Linked DNA regions of Oryctolagus cuniculus. The protein of the gene in region 1 interacts with the protein of each later gene in a pairwise test. Links are inferred from orthologs where the notes say so. Each region holds a gene or a part of one and is shown in the gene's direction. Other genes may lie near its edges.

Region 1 (3,567 bases):
GAGCATCTTGTGAAATGAGCCATGGGCTGTTCCTTCCTTCAGGATAAAAGTCACAGATAGCTCATTGTCCAATGGAAGAGACTGTGATGTTGTAATGTGGGAGGTACTAGTACTGTGGGAGGCTCAGGAGAGTGGGAACATGGGGCTCTGGTTGGGAGGTGGTACTTGGGAAGTACCTTGAGCAGTGAGTAGGACTGCTCAGAAGATGGAGAAGAAGGAATTCTGGTTAGAGTGGAGAGCACATCTAAAGGCCCTGGGGCAGATGAGTAGATGAACACATGGACTCCAGGAGAGGAGTGTGAGAACAGAGTTGAGGATTGTGGGAAGGAGGCTCCAAAGGTTAGATGGAACAGGATGCTGCAGACTTGCATCTCAGCTGGTTGTTGAGAAGTTGCTGAAGTTGATCTCACTGGGCTGTCGGGGGTGGATTGTAACCCTGGAGAGTACTGCTGACTCTGGGTACTTTGCTGGCCACAGGAGGGGGGCCGAAGCAGGCGTGTCTCTAGCCGACTCTCACATCCCCCAGGCCCACTTCACCTTAATACTTTGCCTTTCTCCCTGAGACCACTTCCTGTCCCTGAGACTTCATAAGCTATATTCTGTGGACACTGTTTGCCTTCTCTTGGCTCATTGGCCAGTGACGATTGGGCAGCTGCAGTGAGTGACACAGGCTCCTTGGCCAGCTCTGGGGTGCACCCTGACTGTTGTACAGGGAGAAAAGTGGGAAGTGCTCCAAAGTGCACTGTGTGGTGGGAACTGACCGGAAGGACGGATGTCCCTGGAGGACCTGCCTTTTCAGCTGGGCTTTGGAGAGGGTAGGCACTGGATGTCTTGGGGTGGTTTCATGGAAGAATTTGGTGTATCCGAGGCACAGGGCAGAAGGAGGAGTGGGGTGAATGGTAAGGCTAGGTTAGGGGTGGGCCTCCAAGCCTTCTGGGCCATTTGGATCTTGTCTGCATGGCTCGGGAGTCCTTTCTCACCACCAGGTCCCACCCCAGGAAGGAGAGAGGCAGGTACTTCTCACCACAGGACGCACTTGACTGTGTCAGTTCCCAGATCTAGTGCCTGTGGACTGGGAGCCTTCAGTTGTGGGGGGAGGGTTAATTGGATATAGTGGGGCTCATGGCTGCCGGTGTTTGGTTTTGACAGACAAGCTCACCAGTGCCAGCAAGGATTCCCTGAGCACGCACACCAGCCCCAGCCAGTCGCCCAACAGTGTCCACGGCTCCCGCCGGGGCAGCATCAGCAGCGTGAGCAGTGTGAGCTCGGTCCTGGATGAGAAGGACGATGACCGGATCCGCTGCTGTACGCACTGCAAGGACACGCTGCTCAAGAGGGAGCGGCAGATCGACGAGAAGGAGCACACGCCCGAGATTGTGAAGCTCTACGAGGTGACAGAGCGCGCTCTTGGGCTGACCCGTGGCCGCTGTGGCCTCTGTGGCTGCTGCTTGTGCACAGGCCTGCATGTTCCTGAGAACGCTCTGGGAGGCTGCTCATTCGAATCATTTCTCCTTCCTGCTGAAGGGCCAGGGTGTGCTTTCCCAGCCAGGGCCCTGAATGAGTCAGAGTAGCCCTGTGAGTGCTGCAGCAGACTCCTGCCCTTAGCTGTCCCTGCCTTCTTGAGAGCTGGGCTTGGGGTGGGGACTGTGGTGGAGGCCCGGGGGAAGGGGAGTTGGGGCCGTTGCCATGTGGGTTGCTCCGGGGAGGGTAGAAGCTGGAGATGGCAGAAGCCAGTCCTGGGAAACTTTCTGGGAGTTTGAAGCTCTAAAGTTTGAGAAGGTGTTCCAGATTTCCAGGCTTTATAGGTTTCCTCTTAGAGGCTGCCAGCATCCCTCTCTAAGTCCCTTCAGACACCCCCAGTACTCCTTAGCAATGGTGATCCCAGCCCCCTTATTAGATACAGACTGTGGGAGGAAATAGTGTGTGCAAAGAACAGCTGGGAGTGAGAGTGGCTCTGCCTGAGTGGCTGGGGAGACCTGTGAGCTCATGACGGGGTGCTGGGCAGGGTTGTGGTTGGGGAAGGGGTGGGGGAAAGCAGCTGCTTTTGCAGAACCCCGAGCAGAGGAAGAGCATACTTTATCTGATACGATCACTCGGTGACCACTGTCCGCGGTGCTGTAGGGCGGAGTGGCCGTGTTGGGGAGCCACGAAATCCTCAAGCTGGTTGCTCATTGAACCCATGCTGCAGATGGAGCCATTATCCATCCTTTGCATGTAATTCCTGACCTGGTAGCTTTTTTAAAAAAGATTTATTTTTATTTATTTGTAAGTTACAGAGAGAGGTAGAGACACAGAGAGAGTTCTTCCATCCGCTGGTTCGTTCCCCCAGATGTCCGCAATGGCCAGAGCTGCACCGATCCGAAGGCAGGAGCCAGGAGCTTCTTCTGGGTCTCCCACGTGGGTGCAGGGGCCCAAGGACTTGGGATATCTGCTATCCCAGGCCACAGCAGAGAGCTGGATTGGAAGAGGAGCAGCTGGGACTAGAACTGGTGCCCACATTGGATGCCAGTGCTTCAGGCCAGGGCTTTAACCCACTGTGCCAGAGTCCCGGCTCCTGGTATCTCATTTTTAAAAACAAAGTCATTTATCTTTATGCTGTGCCTTTAAGATTTGTTTATTTGAAAGGCAGAGTGACAGAGAGGGAGAGACAGAGCTCTTCCATGCTCTGATTCGCTCCCCAAATGCCCGCAACAGCCAGGGCTGGACTGTGCCAAAGCCAAGCACTCCATCCAGATCCCCCACAGGGATGGCAGGGACCCAAGGTCCTGGGTCACCATCCACTGCACATTAGCAGGAAGGTGGATTGGAAGTGGAGGTGCTGGACTTGAACCAGCACTCCTGCCAAGCAGCTTAACCTATCACGCCACAGTGCCCGCCCCGGTATCTCATTTTTGTAGATGGTCTTTGTGCTTTCTGCTTCCTTCTGTTTTGAGGTGAGCCTGGGTGGCGCTGGGTCCTGCTGTGGGCTGATGTTGCCAGCAGAGAGTGTAGCTGCTGGTTCCTTTTCTCTGTCTTGCTGGGTACCTTGGCTTGTGCTCCAGAAAACCTTCTCCCCTCAGAAACGTCCTATCAGAGGCTCTGCCTTTCCTCTCCTTTCTTGAAAGATTTTCTGCTTGAAAAGCAAATTTATAAGTTAGGAAATTGATAGAATTTTAAAAACCCACTTTTGTTAAAGGTGCATTTTGTAGTGCATCTCCGGCTGGAGCCTCAGTTCTGGGAAGTTTCTGTGACTGGAGGGCATCACTCACCACTTCTTTTTGTTCTTAGAAATTGCGACTCTGTATGGACAAGGTTGACCAGAAGGCCCCTGAGTACATCAGGATGGCAGCGTCATTAAAGTAAGTTGTCCCCTCTGTTCCAATGCAGTAGTGACTCTTTCAGGTCAGTTTCTCAGTAGCGGAAAATGGGGATCTTAGCTCTAGCCATCGTTTTTCTCTGTGGCCGGCTGAGGAGGTTCTTCATGTCTGTGTTTAAGTGGATCCCACGCTGCACGTGGGAGCTTTGTGAACAGTGTGAGAAGAGTGCAGTGGGGCTTGTGCTCATCGGGGTGAGGAGCTGCTGCAGCGT
Region 2 (3,567 bases), on another chromosome or scaffold:
ACAAGTGGGGGCCCAGTCTGGTCCCAACTGCAACCAAAGTGGCAAAGCTTAAACAGGAGGCTTTTGGCATCGGCAGCAGATAAGCGCCGCAGGTACCAGAGTGGATAGGGTCGGAGCTGCAGCAGACGCGCCCTCCATGTCCCCTGGGCCACGCGGCCCCCCCCCCCCCCCCCCCCGTTCTGGAGCTCATGCTTTGTGTCTGTGCCTGTCCGCGCCAGCGCTGATGGGTGGGGCACTTCAGGTGCTGTGCATTCTGGGAGCTGAAGCGGTGACCTCGGGGGCAGCCGTGCCCCGCGTCGGAGGACTTTGAGTTCAGTCGCAGCTCTGCTCCTGGCTCCTTCCCTGCTGATGTGGACCTGGGGCAGCAGGTGTGGCTCAAGTCGTTGAGTCCCAACCACCCTCACGGAGACCCGGATGGGGCTCCCGGCTCCAGCCAGACCCAGCCCTGGCATCGTGGGCATTTGCACAGTGAACCAGCAGATGGGAGATCTGTCTACCCCCACACCCACCCCCGTACCTTTCCAACAAACAACAAAACACCTAAAAAGGCAGCTTTATAGGGGCCGGCGGCTGGGCGTAGGGGGTTAAGCTGCCATGTTGGAGGGCTGGTGTGAGTCCTGGCCCCTCTGCTTACCGTCTAGCTCCCCGCTGGCGCACCTGGGCGGCAGCGGGTGGTGGCCCAAGTGCTTGGGCCCCTGCCCCCACGCGGGAGACCTGGAGGAAGCTCCAGGCTCCTGGCCTTGACCTGGCCCAGTCCTGGCTCTTGTAGCATTTGGGGAGTGAACCAGCGGTAGGAGATGTCTCTCCCCTCTCTGATGCTCCCCCCTCCGGGGGGCGTGGCCTGGCTGTCCAGCCGCCAGGCCTCCCGAGCTCAAGCTGGCCCCGTGTCGCCCCCAGGCTACGACTTCGCGGCCGTCCTCGAGTGGTTCGCCGAGCGCGTGGACCGCATCATCCTGCTCTTCGACGCCCACAAGCTGGACATCTCGGACGAGTTCTCGGAGGTCATCAAGGCCCTCAAGAACCACGAGGACAAGATCCGCGTGGTGCTCAACAAGGCCGACCAGATCGAGACGCAGCAGCTGATGCGCGTCTACGGCGCCCTCATGTGGTCGCTGGGCAAGATCATCAACACGCCCGAGGTGGTCCGCGTCTACATCGGCTCCTTCTGGTCCCACCCGCTGCTCATCCCCGACAACCGCAAGCTGTTCGAGGCCGAGGAGCAGGACCTGTTCAAGGACATCCAGTCGCTGCCCCGCAACGCCGCCCTGCGCAAGCTCAACGACCTCATCAAGCGCGCGCGGCTGGCCAAGGTGGGCCTGGGGGGCGGGGCGTCCAGCAGGAAGCAGAGGCGTGCCCCGGCCTCCTCCGCTCCCCCTGCAGGCTTCCCTGGTGCAGGAGCGTGCGCGGGGCGGGGCGGGGCGGGGCGGGCCTGGGGGGCCCGGGGGGCCCGGGGAGTGGCTCCAGCCCCCAGCCCGGCGCTCCGTGCACACAGAAAGTCCTGGGGTTGTTTGTGTTGCTGTGGGCTGAGCCCCGTGGGAGTGACCCTGGGGAGCCAGGCGCCAGCCGCGACCCCGGGCGGACACTGGGCGTGAAGCCCAGATCCCGGTGAGCTGGCGCCCGTCCACGCAGGCCTCGTCCACCAGCTCCGACCCTTTCGTGGAAACTTGGGGCCCGGTGACGCCCGGCGGGGAGCGCCCAGATTGCTCAACAGTTTGGAATCTCGGGGCCCGGCCAAGGTTTGCGCGCGAGCTCAGGGAGGCTGGGGCGCGGAGATCAAGTTAACGCCACCATGGGGACGGACGGAGGGTGTCCCCTGTGGAGGCCTGACTTTGGACAGCCCCGCACCAGCCGCAGACCCGAGCGTGAGCAGGCGGGTGATGGCCGAGTGCGGGGCCTGGCCAGCTGCTGCCAGGCACCCCAGCGCCGGGCCAGGCTCTGCTCGTCCACCGTCCTGGTGGCCAGTCCAGGCCTGTCACTTCTGTGTCCCCAACTGTCTGGAGAGTGCTGCTGAGAGCGGGCAGCGGTCACCTGCCCGTGGCCCGCAGAGCCGTGCTGGGGACCGGGACTGGGCCTGGTCCTGGGTGTGGAGCCACCCAGTGCAGAACAGGTTTGCGAAAGCCCTGGGACGCCGTGGCCTCGGAGGAAGCAGGGAGGGGCAGCTCCCCGCACAAGGCCCTGAGAGCCGCTGGCCCTGGGCACGTTGAGTCACCAGCCTGGAAAGCCCGGGGGTCTCCGCTCTGTCCCACGCCTGCTGTCGGGCAGCTGTTTCCCTTTTGCTCTGATCCCTTGCCCTCGCGGCCCTGGGAGGTCCTCGGCGCCAGCCCTGTTGACGGCGCAGGGCTGCCGGCCCCAGGGAGGCAGGGGCAGGCCGGGTGGGGGGTGCCGGGTGGGGCCGGCCGGCTGGACTTCCTCGCCAGGGCCGGGAGAACCGAGGGCGCCACGGGGAAGTGAGCCGGGCACCGCCCTGACTTGGCAGGCGTCTGGGCAAGGCATGGCCGTGCAGATAACGCTGGGGATGGCCAGGAGCAGCCGTGCCGCCCTGTAACCCGCGGGGCGCACGGAGCTTGGGGCGTGCTCTGCACACACGCGTGGCGGGCGGCCCTGGGGACCGGCACGGCGGGTCCAATCCAGCTCGTGCACTCGGCCACGCAGCCAGGGCGAGCCTCGCGGGGCACGTGGAAGGCCTGTGGCTGCCGGGCGGGGCCGGGCGGTCCCTGGGGCCGGCTTCGCCTCCTCCCCATGGTGACGCCAGAGTTCCCGCGAGGCCCGCAGGGTCCTGGGAGGACAGCCACAGCCCTTCGGCTCCCTGATGCCCCTCCCTGCCCGCAGGTGCACGCCTACATCATCAGCTCTCTCAAGAAGGAGATGCCCAACGTGTTCGGTAAAGAGAGCAAGAAGAAGGAGCTGGTGAACAACCTGGGCGAGATCTACCAGAAGATCGAGCGGGAGCACCAGATCTCGCCGGGCGACTTCCCCAGCCTCCGCAAGATGCAGGTGCGGGCCCAGCACCCACCCGAATCCCGGAGGTCGGCCCGGGCCGGGACCCCGGGGAGGGGGAGGCGGTGACTCAGCCCCAGCTGCCGGGCGATGGGGCGGGGCAGCTCCCCCGTGTCCGGCTCTGCGGGGTCTGGGCAGCCATTGCCTCCTGCCCCGCCCCCGCCCAGCCTGTCCTTTGTCCTGCGCCCCCAGGAGCAGCTGCAGACGCAGGACTTCAGCAAGTTCCAGGCCCTGAAGCCCAAGCTGCTGGACACGGTGGACGACATGCTGGCCAACGACATCGCGCGGCTCATGGTGCTGGTGCGCCAGGAGGAGTCGCTGATGCCCTCGCAGGTGGTCAAGGGCGGCGCCTTCGACGGCACCATGAACGGGCCCTTCGGGCACGGCTACGGCGAGGGTGCCGGCGAGGGCATCGACGACGTCGAGTGGGTGGTGGGCAAGGACAAGCCCACCTACGACGAGATCTTCTACACGCTGTCGCCCGTCAACGGCAAGATCACGGGCGCCAGCGCCAAGAAGGAGATGGTCAAGTCCAAGCTGCCCAACACGGTGCTCGGCAAGATCTGGAAG
Region 3 (2,221 bases), on another chromosome or scaffold:
AGCAGGTGGAAGACTTTTCTATTTCTCTGTCTCTCTCTCAAATGAAATAAAAATAAATAAATTTTTAATTTTTTTTTCATCAGAATATTGGAAAACCAAAAGCTAGCAGCCACAGAAGCACGAGTAACAGACTTTGTTCTTGTGGTTATTGGCATCTTTAGGTTGGGAAGCAGGTTCTCAGCTGATCACAGGCACTGAGAGACATCTGCCATTTCCCATCTAGTGAAATTAAGAGGACCCACGCACACACATCCCAAGGAGGCATGTACCCCTGGTCATTCATCCCTAGAACCGCCTACTGGGAGCCAGGCACCGATCTCAAAACTGCTTGGTTGGAGCACTTCTGCTCTTTGTCTTTCGGTTCAGACTTTAATGATCTGTAGACAAATCTTTGGGAAGATGGCCTCTGAAAGGGGTCGCACACCTGCTTTTTAATATGAAGAAGCCTTGTGCAGCATCAGTGCTTTGCACTTCCTCATTTGTTTGCCTGTCTGGTGTCCTGTCTGCTCTGTAGATTCTACTAAATCAACAGGGTGAACGGCTGTCATGTGTGTGTGTGTGTGTGTGTGTGTGTGTGTGGTGGGGGTGATGGGCACACCCACCATGCCCCCACAGGTGACAATAGGAGCCCTACTTGGGAGCCTCTAGGGTTAAACACACAGGGAGAGGCATGTCTGCTGGGTTCCCAGACCACGATCAGCCCCCACTGCCTCCTAGCCTTGCCCCTAGGAGGGAGGTGAGAAGCATCCAGGTTCACACTCGCTCTTGAAATGTAGCTGAGGGTGTTTCTGAATTTCTCTGCAGTGAACCCAACACGCCTGTCCCTGTGTGCTGGCTTCCTCCCAGCGTTCTGGGGTTGCTATGGCCAGAGCCAGGGCAAGAACACAAAGTGCTCCCCTTGTCACCCCCTAGAGGCCAAGGAGAAGCTGGCTGTGGTAGACTAGGGCCTTTGAACGTGACAGAACCATACAGAGTGGAGGGTGGGTCGTCACACAGAGGCAAGGAAGGGAGCGTGGAAAGTCTGCTCCTGCCCCTCCCTCCGCTGAAACGCACAGGGGAGAAACCAGTGTTCTGAGAACTCTCTCCGGGTCATTCCCATGAGCATCCTCCTGGACATCTGTAGGTTGTGAGGATGGCTTTGGCTGCCAGTAGGGTTTGATTCCAGTTGCTCTCGGCTTCTCTCACTCACTGGGGGTGGAGTGTGACTTCTCAACCCCTTGGGGCAGTGACCGAGGGGACGCAGTGAAAGTACTCATAATGAAGCGTCTTCAAGCTTCATTAAAGCAGAGACCCCCGGACTCCAGTCCCAAGTCACCCTTCCCCCACGTGTATCCTATATTCTTATGAGCCAATTCCCATAAGCAACCACGCATGCCTGAGAAAGAAGAATCCATTCCACAGCCGAGCTGGCATAAAGAGAAGCGCGATGGTTTACTCTCAATCACAAGAGACCAAACCCATACTTGTTAAAGTCCCCTGTCCCTGCCACCTTTCTACTGCTCATAGACTCCATCCTGGCCCACTGTGCCTTTTCTCCTGTTCCTCTCTCCTGTCTTCCACGATTCTCCGAGGTGACCCACTTAGCCCTGGGGATAGGAGCTGGGCTGTGGACGTCCCGGCATTATTGGAAGCGCACCGCCAGCACGCGGCTGCTGCCTCCCTTCCTGTGTCTTCACTGTCTCCCTCCCTCCCTCCCTCTCCCCAGGACCAGCTCCAGGCCCAGGACTTCAGCAAATTCCAGCCGCTGAAGAGCAAGCTGCTGGAGGTGGTGGATGACATGCTGGCACACGACATTGCCCAGCTCATGGTGCTGGTGCGCCAGGAGGAGACCCAGCGGCCCGTCCAGATGGTGAAGGGAGGAGCGTTCGAGGGCACCCTGCACGGCCCCTTCGGGCATGGCTACGGGGAAGGGGCTGGGGAGGGCATCGACGATGCAGAGTGGGTGGTGGCCAGGGACAAGCCCATGTACGACGAGATCTTCTACACCCTGTCCCCGGTGGACGGCAAGATCACAGGCGCTAATGCGAAGAAGGAGATGGTGCGCTCCAAGCTGCCCAACAGTGTGCTGGGCAAGATCTGGAAGCTGGCAGACATTGACAAGGACGGCATGCTGGATGACGAGGAGTTCGCCCTGGCCAACCACCTCATCAAAGTCAAGCTGGAGGGGCACGAGCTGCCCAACGAGCTGCCCGCCCACCTCCTGCCCCCCTCCAAGAGGAAA

What was found.
Region 2: the proteins of RBSN (region 1) and EHD1 interact in binary tests that used the Homo sapiens proteins (3 or more experiments, as listed by UniProt). The link is inferred for Oryctolagus cuniculus from reciprocal best matches to the Homo sapiens genes RBSN and EHD1.
Region 3: the proteins of RBSN (region 1) and EHD3 interact in binary tests that used the Homo sapiens proteins (3 or more experiments, as listed by UniProt). The link is inferred for Oryctolagus cuniculus from reciprocal best matches to the Homo sapiens genes RBSN and EHD3.

What each region holds. Positions count from the first base shown.
Region 1 is NC_091441.1:113,924,723-113,928,289, reverse strand, and holds part of RBSN (rabenosyn-5), read left to right. Parts: intron 1-1,149; coding exon 1,150-1,391; intron 1,392-3,267; coding exon 3,268-3,338; intron 3,339-3,567. UniProt on the Homo sapiens protein: Rab4/Rab5 effector protein acting in early endocytic membrane fusion and membrane trafficking of recycling endosomes. Required for endosome fusion either homotypically or with clathrin coated vesicles.
Region 2 is NC_091432.1:6,642,465-6,646,031, forward strand, and holds part of EHD1 (EH domain-containing protein 1), read left to right. Parts: intron 1-897; coding exon 898-1,310; intron 1,311-2,829; coding exon 2,830-2,994; intron 2,995-3,189; coding exon 3,190-3,567. UniProt on the Homo sapiens protein: ATP- and membrane-binding protein that controls membrane reorganization/tubulation upon ATP hydrolysis. In vitro causes vesiculation of endocytic membranes. Acts in early endocytic membrane fusion and membrane trafficking of recycling endosomes.
Region 3 is NC_091433.1:171,394,694-171,396,914, reverse strand, and holds part of EHD3 (EH domain-containing protein 3), read left to right. Parts: intron 1-1,705; coding exon 1,706-2,221. UniProt on the Homo sapiens protein: ATP- and membrane-binding protein that controls membrane reorganization/tubulation upon ATP hydrolysis. In vitro causes tubulation of endocytic membranes. Binding to phosphatidic acid induces its membrane tubulation activity.